Saccharomyces cerevisiae S288C: one gene and its partners. The protein of the gene in region 3 interacts with the protein of the main gene of each other region in a biochemical or structural test. Each region holds a gene or a part of one and is shown on either strand. Other genes may lie near its edges.

Region 1 (4,222 bases), on a different chromosome or scaffold from region 3:
AAATACTATGATCCCAAAAATCCTAACGACCTCTCTGACGAATTGAAATATGGTAAAGAGGCGCAAGATTTAAGAAGCAGATTAGCCGCTGAACTGAGAGCCCATGTTGCTGAAATTAGAAATGAAGTTCGCAAATTACCACGCGAAGACCCTAGGTTCAAATCCCCCTCATGGTGGAAGCGGTTCAACACCACGGAAGGTAAATCGGACCCAGATGTTAAAGTCATTGGCGAAAATTGGGCAATAAGGAGGATGCAAAAGTTTCTGCCTCCAGAGGGTAAACCAAAGGGTAAGGATGATTGAAATTTAAGCAATTAAATTCGTGTAAATACTAGCATGTATGAGGTCATTTTTACATAACAAATATTCATTACTTACTTTGCTTTTTATCTGTGCGCATTAAAATGAGTTTCATATATAATATAGTTACATGTGATGAATGTATGGACAGTCTCTGTCATTTGTCAAAGGAGTGAAAAAGACCAGAAAAGGCCTTGACCTCATTTTCTACTAACCAATCTGGTAGAATTCACTTTAGACGCAAATCTTAACGAATTGAGAGTCTCATTAATATGAGAGGAGCTTGGTGAAATGTTTACAAACATTAATGTTTTCGAATCCCCAGTGAGTGAATATTGCAGTAGGTATGTCAGTTTTGAGTTCCTGAACGGTATATGTCTTTTGGTACTATCAGGCTGACCTAAAGCATGAATAACGTCACCTAAGCAACTTAAAGATTTATTTATATTTTGTGTTTCTCTTAATCTATCCCCTACAACTTGAGAGACATTTATTCTTTCGGAACCGGCCAAATCAACAAGATTTAGTGTGCCATACGAGTGTGCTCCAGTTTTTGCATTTGATCCAGACAAATGAATTATGAAAATACTGTGTGAACGGGAGGAATGCTCATTTGATGCTGTGCTAGCGGTGGATCTTAATTTATTTGCTTTTTTCAGGATTATTTCCACCATTTCTTCCGACTCAAGCTTGCAACTCGTAACATTCGTTATCGTGGTAGTCTTAGTTTCCTGATCATGACGTATTTCGTGCTTTAAGCCAATGCTTGTGTCTTCTTTATTATTATTATCACTTCTCAATAAGTCTACGATGTTCTCGTTGTAGATCTCAATGAATTCGCAGTTAACTTTATAATCCCATCCTTTTGTCTTTAATTTATTGATCCAGTTAAATATATGAGATATTGTGGACGGAATGATACCATCACCTGGATTTAACATCGTGAAAGTTTTCCCAGATCCTGTTTGTCCGTATGCGAAGATACAAACATTATATCCATCTAATGAACTTTGCACTAACTGACCAACTTCTTTAAAAACATCCACATTTGTATCCTGTTGATCAAATATTTTATCAAATTTGAATTCATGCACTTGCGCTGTGTTTTGTATTTTCGTCACTTCCATAGATTGAACACCACTATTGTCATCAAATTCATTAACATTAATAAGGCTAGTATCAGAATTTTCCAAATTTTTTAGAGCTGGACGAATCCTACAATAAACTCGTATATTTCCTCTTAACTCTTGTAACTCATTATGCAATGTGCGTCTAACCGTTTCCTCTTTAATCAGAATTTCATTCAACTCCTTCATACCCAGTTCAGTGTCTTTTATATATTCCTCAAGTTCTTTGATCTTTTCCAAAGTTTCTAAATTAGTTTTCTGTTTTAATGCCACCTCATCTCTCAGCCTTGTAGTTTCCTCTTCCTTTTCTTTAACTTTTACTTTGATAGCTTCATACGCGTTACGCTTTTCTGTTAAGAGCTTCTTTTTTTCTGCCAACTCAGGTTTTAATGTATTTTCGATTTCCTTTTTTATGCTTTCGATTTCTTGCATATGTTTATTATTCAGCTCTATATCCTTTTTCCACTGCGATTGGTACTCTGTAAGCCATTCTTCTTTTTCAAGCATATGCTTTTGTTCAACATCGTTCAACATTTCCTGTAAAGTGGAAGGGTTCATGGTGATTTTATTTCTTACCTCTTCTATTTTATCTAAAAGCGACGCTCTTTCATTTTCAAACTGTTTAATCTTCATAAATTTCAATTTCTCAATTTTTGTTTTGTATTCATTTTCCATTTGTTTCAGCTCTTTTTTATTAGATGCCGCTAGCTGCTTTAAATGTATTTCATGTCCTTCATTCATGAACTGCTTCTTTGACAAAAATTCTTCTTTAATCGAGATAAGTTCATTGTTTTTCAAATTCAGTTGCTGTTCAATTTTTATCTTTTCTTCACGAAGGGTTTCAAATTTGAGATTAACGGCATTGATTTTCTCTTTCGTTTCTGTTAGTTCATCTTTGAGTAAATCTAGTGTTGCCTTTTTCTCAAATAAGATTGCTTGTGTTCTATTGAGTTCATTAACATTTTCTTTATAAAAGGAAGTTACACCGGAGTTGCTTTTCTGGTTTCCATAAATCAAATTTGCTGTACCTTTATAATTCTTTAAAAGCTCGCGATTAGGTGACATGGATATGCGACTCTGACTAGCTAATGAGTGTCTATGAATATCCGTACGTTGCGGCTTCAGAAGAGTGTGCTTAGGCGGTGGAGTTGTTGTATTTCTTCTTTTGTGGCCATTCATAGCTAAAATATCATTCTTCGGCGATGGTGTCGAGAGATGCTGCGTAGATCTGCCTTTTGTGGGAGTACGTGGAAGTGATTCCATAGTTTAATAGTTGCCAGAATTTCTCTAAGTCCTTTATTTCAAAATCTACCTTTTTTAAACAAAGACTCCGGATAGTTGTTCTGGTATATTCAAATAGAATAATAAGAAACACAAAGAGCGGAAAAATTGATAGCTTTAATGCTTATATAATATTCGATAATTTTTTTAGCTGTAATACTCATCATCATATTTTGATTCGAGGCGCATCAAATTGTAAACAGTGTTTGTTTTGATTTTGTTTGAGATTCATTTTGGTGTATCTCCATTACCCTCTTATTGGAAAATTTTGAAAGAAAAAAATCTAGGATTCGATGCCCATAAGATATAAGGAAAGGTAATAAACAGATGCTATGAATAAAGCGATAGAGAAGCCGAAGGAAAATCAGTACATAATTGATCATGGGCTCCAAGCACAGAGTAGACACTAAGGATAAGAAAAGAACCAGAAAGAATGCAGAATTTGGGCGTGAAAAAAGGAATAGTGGCAACCAAGAGTTAAGTAATGAGCCGGAAAAAGATACAATAATGGAAGGTGATGAAGCCGAAGAAGACGAGCAGAATAGCTCTAGCGATGAATCATCTAAAATTATAGATAACGAACAAAGTGATGCTGAAGAAGATGATGATGAAGAAGAAGAGGACGACGACTTCCCAAGAAAGAAAAAATCGAAAAACAGCAAACATGATGATGGTTCTACTGGATTTTCTGCTGCAGTAAATGCTATTTTATCATCACATCTGAAAGCATACGACAGGAAGGACCCCATCATGGCTAGAAACAAAAAGGTGCTGAAGCAAAGTGAGTCAGAAAAGCTAGAATACAAGGCCAAAAAAGCATTGTTGGCAGAAAAAAAAAAGTTATTAGGTAAAGCCAGAAAGACGGATATTATTCCAATTGCTTCCGGAGAAGACAGGTCAGAAAATATTAGAAAAGTCCTTGAGAAGGAGACAGCGCTCAGAAAGATAGCTCAAAAAGGTGCCGTGAAATTATTTAACGCCATTTTAGCAACTCAAGTCAAGACAGAAAAGGAAGTATCCGAAAATTTAAGCGAAATTAAGAATAAAGAAGAAAAGAAAGAATTGATCACTGAAGTTTCCAAAGAAAAATTTTTGGATTTAGTTAAAGCTGCCGCAGGAAGCGACAATGAATAATCAACATGTTCATGTCAAAAGAAGAAAAAAAATAAAGAAATAAAAACTGTATATTATTTAGTCTATGTCAAGCGAGAAAGGGGCCCTATATCTTCCCTCCTCCTTGCAATTGAATTTTGTTTGCATTCTATATTATCATATAGTTTCATATCAATTGCAAAAACTTTTGCAGCCAATGTTACAAAATTGTTTTCAATCAAAGAAATACAGGTGTGGTGTCCTTCACCATCGATATATTAATATTAATATATCATGAATAAATATAAAAATTCAAGGTAATGTACTTGTGCACTTCTTTTAGAATATAGCAATTTCCCTTAGCTCTTTTTCAAATTGTAATTCTCTACAATACATAAAAAGAAATTGATCTTTGGTTCAAC
Region 2 (3,395 bases), on a different chromosome or scaffold from region 3:
AGCAAAAGAAGGATTGAGGCATCACTGACAACAAAATTGTCTTGCAGCCCAATTAATAAAAAAAAATAAAGTTATATATATAAACAAATACGTAAACAAAGGATAGAAGGCGAACTGAATCATCGTTCAGTAGCGGTTCTGGTTGCCGTTATTGTTCTGTTGAGAAAAGTTGCCAGAAAAATTGAAGGATTCGTGCTGTCCATTGGAGTTCTGGTTTCCGCCGTATTGCGGTCTTCCGTACTCATTGGATTGCTGTTGACCATTCTGTTGCGGTCTACCATACTCATTAGCCTGTTGCTGGCCCCCATAACTCGAATTTGAATTGGAGTTATTGCCCAGGTAGGAACTTGCCATGGAAGCCAAAGCTGAGAATGAACTGGAGTGGCCTTGTTGCTGCTGCTGACCCTGTTGTTGATGCTGATAGTTTTGGCCTTGTTGCTGGTATTGCTGCTGGTTGTTTTGGCCTTGTTGATTGTATTGCTGTTGGTTGGATTGAGTTTGTCCACCACCTAAGTAAGATTGAGCCATGGAGGCCAATGAGGAAAAAGCACCACCAGATTGTCCCTGTTGTTGTTGGTAACCACCGTTGCCACCTTGGTACTGTTGATTATTGTAACCTTGACTATTTTGGTTACCGTTTTGATAGGATTGGTTATAGCCCTGTTGACTATTGTTGGAGTTCTGATTATTATTGGAATGCATAAAAGAGCTTGCCATAGAAGCCAGTGCTCCAAAGGAGGAACCACCGGAGCTTTGATTTTGACCTTGCTGATTATTGTTGTTGGAATTCATGAAAGATGAAGCCAAAGACGCCAAAGCAGTAAAAGAACCTTGACCTTGACCTTGTCCTTGACCTTGACCTTGACCTTGACCTTGTCCCTGACCTTGGGAATTGTTACCTGACTTAAAGAATTGAGAAGCCAAGGCAGCCAGGCCGGAAGCACCCATACTTTGGCTCCCGCCGCCAGAACCACTTAGCATTGACATGACAGTCCCTACGTCAAACCCTCTGTTAGAAGAACCTTTATTTGATGAGTGTGTCATCACTGTGGCTAACAAAGCTAGTTTTCCTAGTTGCGTTTGGGAAGAACCCTTAGAGTCTGCCATTAAAGTGTTCATAAAAGATGAACCACCACCAGCAGCACGATCTTGCGAGGCGTCACTACCACCACTACGGTTGTCCATGACGTATCCTGCGATTTTTTGAATTAATGATTCAATAGTTGACATTTGCTCGTCATTGGGGTTCGACTGAGCTGCGGATGTCAACTTCGCAACAGCTTCTGCATGGTTTCCTTGAGAAAAATGAGACTCAGCCTCTGAGATTAACTTATCCGTATCCATTTCAGATCTTTGCTATACGTTTGTATCGCTATATGTACGTTCTTTTAATGAACTTTCTCCTTTCTTTATCGTGTAGCTTGCTTGGGTATCTTTTAATGAGTTGCGGACAGTGAGATTTTTCAGAAGGGCAATTGGCCAAGACACCAAAAACGTTTGGACGAGACAGGCATCAAAGGACAAGGTAAAAGGCGTTGAGCTGTGGCTGGCTGTGTATGCGTTTGAAATACCATGGATAGATATCAAAGAAAGATAGGATGTTTCATACAAATCCCAAATTTGGGGCGCGGACAACTGAAATACGTGGGTCCAGTGGACACGAAAGCTGGAATGTTTGCTGGTGTAGACTTACTTGCCAACATTGGTAAGAACGATGGATCATTCATGGGGAAGAAGTATTTTCAAACGGAGTATCCTCAAAGTGGACTATTTATTCAGTTGCAAAAAGTCGCATCATTGATCGAGAAGGCATCGATATCGCAAACCTCGAGAAGAACGACAATGGAACCGCTATCAATACCCAAAAACAGATCTATTGTGAGGCTCACTAACCAGTTCTCTCCCATGGATGATCCTAAATCCCCCACACCCATGAGAAGTTTCCGGATCACCAGTCGGCACAGCGGTAATCAACAGTCGATGGACCAGGAGGCATCGGATCACCATCAACAGCAAGAATTTGGTTACGATAACAGAGAAGACAGAATGGAGGTCGACTCTATCCTGTCATCAGACAGAAAGGCTAATCACAACACCACCAGCGATTGGAAACCGGACAATGGCCACATGAATGACCTCAATAGCAGCGAAGTTACAATTGAATTACGAGAAGCCCAATTGACCATCGAAAAGCTACAAAGGAAACAACTACACTACAAAAGGCTACTCGATGACCAAAGAATGGTCCTCGAAGAAGTGCAACCGACTTTTGATAGGTATGAAGCCACAATACAAGAAAGAGAGAAAGAGATAGACCATCTCAAGCAACAATTGGAGCTCGAACGCAGACAGCAAGCCAAACAAAAGCAGTTTTTTGACGCTGAGAATGAACAGCTACTTGCTGTCGTAAGCCAACTACACGAAGAGATCAAAGAAAACGAAGAGAGAAATCTTTCTCATAATCAACCCACTGGTGCCAACGAAGATGTCGAACTCCTGAAAAAACAGCTGGAACAATTACGCAACATAGAAGACCAATTTGAGTTACACAAGACAAAGTGGGCTAAAGAACGCGAACAATTGAAAATGCATAACGATTCGCTCAGTAAAGAATACCAAAATTTGAGCAAGGAACTATTTTTGACAAAACCACAAGATTCCTCATCGGAAGAGGTGGCATCCTTAACGAAAAAACTTGAAGAGGCTAATGAAAAAATCAAACAGTTGGAACAGGCTCAAGCACAAACAGCCGTGGAATCGTTGCCAATTTTCGACCCCCCTGCACCAGTCGATACCACGGCAGGAAGACAACAGTGGTGTGAGCATTGCGATACGATGGGTCATAATACAGCAGAATGCCCCCATCACAATCCTGACAACCAGCAGTTCTTCTAGGCAGTCGAACTGACTCTAATAGTGACTCCGGTAAATTAGTTAATTAATTGCTAAACCCATGCACAGTGACTCACGTTTTTTTATCAGTCATTCGATATAGAAGGTAAGAAAAGGATATGACTATGAACAGTAGTATACTGTGTATATAATAGATATGGAACGTTATATTCACCTCCGATGTGTGTTGTACATACATAAAAATATCATAGCACAACTGCGCTGTGTAATAGTAATACAATAGTTTACAAAATTTTTTTTCTGAATAATGGTTTTGCCGATTCTACCGTTAATTGATGATCTGGCCTCATGGAATAGTAAGAAGGAATACGTTTCACTTGTTGGTCAGGTACTTTTGGATGGCTCGAGCCTGAGTAATGAAGAGATTCTCCAGTTCTCCAAAGAGGAAGAAGTTCCATTGGTGGCTTTGTCCTTGCCAAGTGGTAAATTCAGCGATGATGAAATCATTGCCTTCTTGAACAACGGAGTTTCTTCTCTGTTCA
Region 3 (8,638 bases):
ATCGACTCTGGTGAGCTCTACATAGCTCCCCAACTTTTCTTCAGAAATACTTGGGCTTTTGACGGTACTAGAACAAAGGACAAGCCCTTGCTTGAAAGAGATGCAGAAGCAGCGAACTTAATCAATATGACTCACAAGAAATATGGTAATTGCCAAATGGTCTTTCAGCCATCTCCAGGTGGGTTCTCTTCCGGTACAAACGAGGAAGAGGAAGATAAAGAGGTAGAAGATATAGATCCTCTGCTGCTATTTACCGATAATGAGTCCAATTTAGTAAAACTATTTAACGAAGAAAAGAATCCTTCCGAGTACACAAAGGATGCTTTTGAAGAATATCTTGTTCAAGGCAAAACCGATGCTGTAAATCCTGAAAATAAAGGAACAAAGGCCTGCGCAGTATATCACTTCAAAAATATTCCGCCCGGAGAGTATGTTACTGTGAGATACAAATTTACAAATGACCCAAAAAACTCTATCTTTAAGGCACAAAACCTGGCTGTCGTAGATGAAGATGAGTTTGATTTGATTTTCGATAACAGAGAGGAGGAAGCTGATAACTTCTACTGGAGGATTACACCTTTGCCAATCAGTGATGAATTAAGAAACCTTCAAAGACAAGCTTTTTCTGGTTTGCTATGGACTAAACAGTTCTACAATTTTACATATGATGCTTGGTATAATGGTGACGCCAATGTTAAGCCTCGCCCTCCCCCTAATAGAGCTAATGGCAGGAACAAGAACTGGAAGCACCTTTACATCGAAGATATCTTATCAATGCCCGACAAATGGGAGTATCCATTTTTTGCTTCATGGGATACTGCGTTTCACTGCATTCCTTTAGCTATGATTGATCCAGAATTTGCAAAACGGCAATTGGATTTATTAACCAGAGAGTGGTACATGCATCCTAACGGTCAAATTCCGGCATACGAATGGAACTTCAATGACGTAAATCCACCAGTCCATGCATGGGCTGTGTATCGTGTTTTCAAGATCGAAAGAAACATGTACAACCGTGAAGATCGTACATTTTTAGAACGAGTTTTCCAGAAGCTTTTGTTAAATTTTACATGGTGGGTCAACAGAAAGGATACTGAAGGTAAAAATGTTTTTGAGGGCGGATTTTTGGGTCTTGATAATATTGGCGTTTTCAACAGATCAGAACCACTACCCACTGGCGGTACGCTTGAACAGGCTGATTCTACAGGTTGGATGGCCTTTTTCAGCCTTCAAATGCTAAATATTGCATTAGAGCTCGCCAAAGAAAACCCGGTTTATGAAGATATTGCCTCTAAATTTTTTGAACATTTTATCTTAATCAGTGACTCTATGTCCTTTGAATACGCTACTGATATTACGGGAGAGAAATGTAAAGAAGTTATCAAACAAAACCTATGGAATGAAGCAGACAAATTTTATTACGATGCCATCTCTTGGGGTGACCACAAGGTGCAACTACCAATAAGATCTCTCGTGGGATTGATCCCACTATATGCTTCTATGACTTTAGAGCCTAGTATCATAAAACAATTCCGCGGTTTCAAGAAGAGGGTTGATTGGTTTGTGAACAACCGTCCAGAAATCTTTGATAGAAACATTGCGTCCATGTCAAAAAAAGGAGTGGGAGAAAGACTACTTTTATCCCTAGTTACTAAGGAAAGATTAACAGCCATACTGTCACGTTTGCTGGATGAAACTGAGTTTTTGTCACCATATGGTATTAGATCTCTTTCCAAATATCATGAGAAGCACCCATTCGAAATGAATGTAAATGGTGTCGAATATATGGTCAAATATTTGCCGGGCGAATCAGACTCGGGTATGTTCGGCGGTAATTCTAACTGGAGAGGGCCCATTTGGTTTCCTACCAGCTTTTTAATAATGGAAGCATTACAAAGGTTTTACCTGTACTACGGTTCCGACTTCAAAGTAGAGTGTCCCGTAGGTTCAGGAGATTATTTGAATCTTGCTGAAGTTGCCGAAGAACTTGGATATCGTATGATTCACTTATTTGTTCCAGACGAAAACGGGGAGCGCGCCATTCATTATGGTGATCACTCTAAGTTTCTGTCTTCTGATCCATATTTCAGGGATTATGTGCCATTTTTTGAATACTTTGACGGTGATACTGGAAGAGGGCTTGGCGCTTCACACCAATGTGGTTGGACTGCTCTTGTGGCCAAATGGATAAGTGATGTAGGTATATCCTGTGTAAGACTACCTCGTACGCCAAGATCATCTGTGGCAACGACCGCTTCAACAGAGAGCTCTGAGCAAGGTCCCAAAATGAAGAGAATGGCAAGACGTAAGAGTGCAAAGTCTTTGGTAAACTACACTGCCACCATTTTGGACTTAACCGAAGAAGAAAAGCGCCATCATAGGATAGGGGGCACCCATTCTGGGTTGACACCACAAAGCAGCATTTCAAGTGACAAGGCTAGACATTTGATGGAGGAAATGAATGAAGAGGAAGGTATTCACGAAACTGTGGTACCTGAAGATCGTCACAACTTTGAAACCAAGCTTATAGGCAAGCTAAAAGATAAGGTGAAAAATATGAAAGTAACTGACAAGGCTAAAGATGAGGATATAGACCCAATGGACCCAATGAGTCCGTTGAATAAGGATGTGTCTTGATTAACTGCGGTGAACCTTCAATATCTGTACGTTTGAAAAATATTTCCAACGATATACCTCTATATTTTGATCTATAGAATATTTAATTGCAGTAGTTTTTTATCAGTAAGGTAGCGTTGATATTACTAGTGAAGGTAACTCTATAGTTCCTTGACATGTTCTTTAGATTCTAGAGGTTTTTTATTGAATTTGTTTTCCCACCTTATTTAAACTTTGAGAACAAAACTAGCAAAATCAATAATATAAGGACTGCGATAATGGCATAGCTTATGAATTTATTAGCAACTAGCCTTCTAGTCATTGTTTTTAGTGTCTTTATACTTTTATCCACATATGAATCCGCTTGAAACAAGGTCTGTCTTGCATTTTCCAAAGTTTCTCTCTGTGACCTTAAATCCATCATTATTTGTGACCCTATTCCTTCAGTTTCATTTGCTATTCTACTGGCATCTTTTAGTCTATCTCCCGATTTCTGTAAGATTGCATGGTTGCTCAACAACTGTTGCCTTTGGTCATCGTCAATATTAGATGCGTTAAGATCTCCAAAAAGTCTATCACGATCGCCTGAGTCTACTAAGGATTGCAGTGGTCGTTTGATATCGCTCTGTATAGTCTTCTTCCATTCTCTTAACTTCGCCTTGTACGTAGCACGTTCTGAGGCATCGCCTATGCTGTTATTAACTTCTACATCCATCTGATCTAGCAGGTCAAACAACTCATCTTGTTGCTGTTCTACGTGCTTCAGTGTAGTATTTCTCTGTGATAACGGTTGTGAGGGGGCCTCTGCTAAGCTCGCTTTGGCTTGTTCTAAGGTTGTTTTGAAGTCAGATTCGTATGATATTAATAGGGAACTCATAGTAAGCCATGCAGCAATGTAAAGAGTGCGGTTGATTCGTTTTATACAACTTAATGTAAAGCTTTACACTTTTCCAAGAATAGTAATTGCCCTATATAGCACGACTACTCCACTCCTAACTTTCATTGAAAATTAGACAGTCATGTGATCAGTAATATCGTCCATAGTGATATTTGTTTGTTTACCATTTTTGTTCTTATTTACTCTCTAATATGATTCTAGTATATGAAAGATACCACTGTCGTAGCTCGTATCAAAATAAAACTAGTCAGTCGTTGACCATTGAGCATATCGTCCGAGAATAAGGCTTTACTGTATTATTTTTTGATATCCACACGTTATTGAGCTCATTCACTGATCGACACATTTAGGCGGCTTTTCCGTTTGGCTGAAGCAACTTTGAAACACAACTACGACATTATAATTAAGCGCCTAAATAAGTGAATTTTGTGCCATAGGGTTGGACCGTGTATATATAAGAGCTATTCACTATTTTAATATTTGTTTTGGCATTTGAAACTCGTTGACATAAGCTTTATTATTAGGATGAATAACTCCAAAATTCCTAAACTTTCCTTTCATAGTGATCCAAACAACGTCACTCGAGACTTTCCAAAGACAAAACGACAGAAGGTTCAGAAAAGAGAAATGGATATGATACTAACTCCTAATAACAACAAGCTAAATATATTGCACAGCTCTGGATCTGGTATACGGCGCTGCTACACTGATGACACCTCCGCTACGTATACTAAGAAACTAACCTTTGGGGGGGACCCCAAGATTATTGAAAGGGTTAAGAACAATGAACGTAAGGTTAGAAAAGACATAGATTCACTACTGAATGCTATTTCTGAAATTGAAAAGGAATCTGTTCGTATTCATGCCAGGGAACTACCTGCAATAACATTAGAATTAGATGCAAAAGTCAAAGCGTGCAGGGAGCTACAAAATGAGATTGATGGACTATCAACGGAGATGGACTTGAAGGATAATCAATGTGATCTTCAAAGAAAGAATGTTGAGCTATCATCAAAAAATATAGTGTCTATGCATGCAGTAAAAGTACAAGAGTTCGAAAACGATTTAGAGGAAGAGCTATCGAATGCCAAAAGGGAGTGGACGTATAAATTAATGGAAGTAGAAAATTTGAAACCTGACGAAAGGTTAACTGACGAAATGCGACAGCTTAAAACAGAATTCGAGGAGGTCAATAGGAAACTATTCATTCTACAGAATGAAAATGAGAACGAGTGTAAAAACTACAAAAAAGAATTGGACAAGAAATTCGAGATATTCAAGAAAGTTAAGAACGATGCTAGAATTGAATTAGATGGGGAGCAAGAAAGACTTTCGAAAGTTTTAAAAGACCTACAAGACACCCATGGTGAACTGAAAGAAAATATTAAGACGTGTAGAGATGAGTTTAACGATTTTGAAAAAAGGATTGGAGAGGCAGAAGTGAACTTCCATAGCATGGAACTTGCCGTTGTTCCTCTCAAAAAGAAGCTTGCTTCTACATCACAAGCATTGACGCAAGTGCAGGAGGAGAAGAAGCAAGTCGAAGGAGAAGCAAACAATTGGAAGAAGAAGTACGTTAATGAACTAGAAAAGGTTCAACAGGAATTATACACACGACAAAATCTGGCCACTTCAATTGAAGAAATCAAAGGATACACCCGATGCTTTGCGTATGCCAATGAACGACAAATGCCTGATGAATTCCATATCAACTATGTGGATCGGTGCATTTGCGAGAATAGTGGAGAAAAACGGGTACAAGTATTTGATAGAGTAGTTCTCGAAGAAATCCATAAGGATCACAAACGCTTATATAACGAATGCATTCCGTTCCTGGAAAAATACATCAGCAAGTTAATTAACTGCAGCATTATAGTGGTTTCGCAGCAACCCACAGCACCAATGAAAAAGACTTTGCTAAAACAGTTAATTGAGCAGTACGGTGAGAATTATAAGATGACATTGAACATTTTGCATCTTGACGGAAGTATTAAACACAGTGACGTTGGATTAGATAACCCAACAGAAATTAGAGATCTGTCACAAGATGAAGAATGCATGAACATTTTAACTTTAGATACCAAGTTGGGAAAAGATGAAGAGTCCCATTCAATGAATATATATATCGGTAGTATGTCCACGGTACAGCTGAATAGAGAGCTTGATGATGCTCCCTCAGTCCTTTCGCATATTCTCACTAAAACAAAGCAGTGCTTTGTCTTCAAGATTAACGCTGGTGAAAACATCGAGAAGGCTCTAGCCTTAGCGGGAAAGCTGAAAAGAACAATAACATTACCTCAGCTAGATTAAGAAGGCCAGATCTTGTGCGCTACAATCACTTCGTCTCGTTCCCTTACATAAAAAACTTACGTAGCTACATTGTCGTGCGTGGCATCAACCTAATTATCCTAGCAAAATAAAAGAGAATGTTACGGGACTAACAGGCGGATGTAAATTACTCACTTAAACGCAGCCAAACATCATCGAGAACTTAGGGTAGCGTGCCACAAAATTTGCATGAATAAACTTTTGTTTTCCTAATTCGACAGCATTCCCTTGTTCGCAACACTTCACTGATAGGAAATCGAATAGCGCACACTCTCTTCTGGGACATACCCCAATGCGGTAAAGCCACGAAAACACCGCGCGTAAAGGGGTAAACAAGTCCATTCCTACAACCTCTTGGAGAAATTCTTTACCTACTACAACCCCGCGCCTGATACTTTCAGTATTCATGACAACTCGAGCCAGATCCCGCTCGTGGGCGTGTTCATTCTGTGACGATCCACTAGCGACTTCTTTGTTCAGCCTGCAAGAGACGCGTTCAAGGAAGAATTCGCGATTTTACTTCTTCGAGGGAATCTCGCACCGCGTTAGTTAGTTTCCAACCTTGAAAGCATCGGAGACGCATTTTTGGCGATTTTGCTGGATTGAGCTGAATGGTGCCAGGTCGAGGCTGGGAGGGAGACTAACTCGAAAGTGACGAAGACTCGAAAATTAAAAAAAAAGATACTGCAGAAGGCAAGATTGAGAATGGAGTAAAGGCAGCGTGGGTCCCCTGTGGAAACCGCAGTTTTCCTGCGCCAAGTGGTACCGGTGCGAGTGCAGCAATTAATCTCTCGATATTTTCTTAGTATCTCTTTTTATATAAGAATATATTTTGGAATTGGTAATGCTTATCTTCAATAGTTTCTTAGTTGAATGCACACTTAAGAGCAAATTGGCCAAGGAGTTCTTCGTTCGCTTTAATTTATTTCCTGGTTATTGTCAATTTATTCATCCCATCTCCCCAGGATAGAAGAAATTAGTGTAATTTTGCTGACAATACATTTTAACGACGATAACAATAATAGCAATTAAATAAAATAGCACTACCACCACTCCACTGCTCGTTAGCTATTTCTGTAAAATAAATAAAAAGATCATGAACCACTCAGAAGTGAAAACTGGGTTAATTGTCACTGCAAAGCAGACATATTACCCAATTGAATTGTCCAATGCAGAACTACTAACTCATTACGAAACCATACAGGAATATCACGAGGAAATCTCTCAAAATGTGCTGGTCCAATCTTCCAAGACAAAACCAGACATAAAATTGATCGATCAGCAACCGGAGATGAATCCTCATCAAACTAGAGAAGCCATAGTAACATTTTTGTATCAACTTTCAGTGATGACTAGAGTAAGTAATGGTATCTTCTTCCACGCTGTCAGGTTCTACGATCGCTATTGCTCTAAGAGAGTAGTGTTAAAGGACCAAGCTAAACTAGTTGTAGGCACCTGCCTTTGGTTAGCGGCCAAAACTTGGGGAGGGTGCAACCATATTATAAACAACGTCTCCATCCCCACAGGTGGTAGGTTTTATGGTCCCAATCCTAGAGCTCGTATTCCACGCCTTTCTGAATTGGTTCATTATTGCGGCGGGTCCGATTTATTCGATGAATCAATGTTCATTCAAATGGAAAGACATATCTTGGATACTCTGAACTGGGACGTTTATGAGCCCATGATTAATGACTACATTTTAAACGTTGACGAAAATTGTTTGATACAATATGAACTTTACAAAAACCAGTTACAAAATAACAATAGCAACGGCAAAGAATGGTCCTGTAAGAGAAAGTCACAATCTTCTGACGACAGTGATGCCACAGTGGAAGAACATATCAGTAGTTCACCGCAAAGTACTGGACTAGATGGCGATACAACTACCATGGATGAAGATGAAGAACTAAATTCCAAAATTAAATTGATAAATTTGAAAAGATTCTTAATTGATCTGAGCTGTTGGCAATACAACTTGCTTAAATTCGAATTATACGAAATATGCAATGGTATGTTTTCTATAATAAACAAATTCACTAATCAAGATCAAGGCCCTTTTCTCTCTATGCCCATTGGTAATGATATAAACTCAAACACTCAAACGCAGGTATTCAGCATTATCATCAATGGCATAGTCAATTCTCCCCCATCTTTAGTCGAAGTTTATAAGGAGCAATATGGTATAGTACCTTTCATATTACAAGTAAAAGATTATAACTTGGAATTACAAAAGAAACTGCAACTGGCCTCTACAATAGACCTAACCAGAAAAATTGCTGTCAATTCTCGTTACTTTGACCAAAATGCCTCTTCATCATCAGTTTCTTCTCCAAGCACATATTCTTCGGGAACCAATTATACTCCAATGCGAAACTTCAGTGCACAATCAGACAACAGTGTTTTCAGTACTACCAACATTGACCATTCATCGCCGATCACCCCTCACATGTACACTTTTAATCAGTTTAAAAACGAAAGTGCTTGTGACAGTGCCATAAGCGTAAGCAGTCTACCTAATCAAACCCAAAATGGTAACATGCCATTATCAAGCAATTATCAGAATATGATGCTAGAAGAAAGGAATAAAGAGAATAGAATTCCCAACTCATCATCCGCTGAAATACCACAACGTGCCAAATTTATGACGACTGGTATATTCCAGAACACAGGAGAACTTACTAATAGAGCGTCTTCGATATCGCTATCGTTAAGGAACCACAATAGCTCTCAACTGTGACCATTTTCTCATCAAGCCTACATATATACTTAATTAATAACGGAATACTACGCTTTTCC

What was found. The genes of interacting proteins can lie anywhere in the genome.
Region 1: the proteins of CIK1 (region 3) and KAR3 form a complex in vitro, tested with the Saccharomyces cerevisiae proteins (5 studies listed by BioGRID, with this or other methods).
Region 2: the proteins of CIK1 (region 3) and BIK1 form a complex in vitro, tested with the Saccharomyces cerevisiae proteins (one study listed by BioGRID).

The regions. Positions count from the first base shown.
Region 1 is NC_001148.4:815,234-819,455, forward strand, and holds KAR3 (Kar3p), read right to left. Parts: upstream 2,691-4,222; coding exon 501-2,690; downstream 1-500. Other genes in the region: TAZ1 (lysophosphatidylcholine acyltransferase), read left to right, coding at 1-303; rRNA-processing protein RRP15, read left to right, coding at 3,090-3,842. UniProt on the Saccharomyces cerevisiae protein: Minus end-directed microtubule (MT) motor involved in spindle midzone assembly, poleward transport of newly captured kinetochores along the lateral side of MTs, karyogamy (nuclear fusion) during mating, and with an essential function in meiosis I.
Region 2 is NC_001135.5:68,099-71,493, reverse strand, and holds BIK1 (Bik1p), read left to right. Parts: upstream 1-1,572; coding exon 1,573-2,895; downstream 2,896-3,395. Other genes in the region: prion domain-containing protein RNQ1, read right to left, coding at 127-1,344; HIS4 (trifunctional histidinol dehydrogenase/phosphoribosyl-AMP cyclohydrolase/phosphoribosyl-ATP diphosphatase), read left to right, coding at 3,161-3,395. UniProt on the Saccharomyces cerevisiae protein: Required for nuclear fusion, chromosome disjunction, and nuclear segregation during mitosis. Probably required for the formation or stabilization of microtubules during mitosis and for spindle pole body fusion during conjugation.
Region 3 is NC_001145.3:655,706-664,343, forward strand, and holds CIK1 (Cik1p), read left to right. Parts: upstream 1-4,039; coding exon 4,040-5,824; downstream 5,825-8,638. Other genes in the region: YMR196W (uncharacterized protein), read left to right, coding at 1-2,637; v-SNARE protein VTI1, read right to left, coding at 2,840-3,493; cyclin CLN1, read left to right, coding at 6,939-8,579. UniProt on the Saccharomyces cerevisiae protein: Together with the minus end-directed microtubule motor KAR3, involved in spindle midzone assembly, karyogamy (nuclear fusion) during mating, and with an essential function in meiosis I.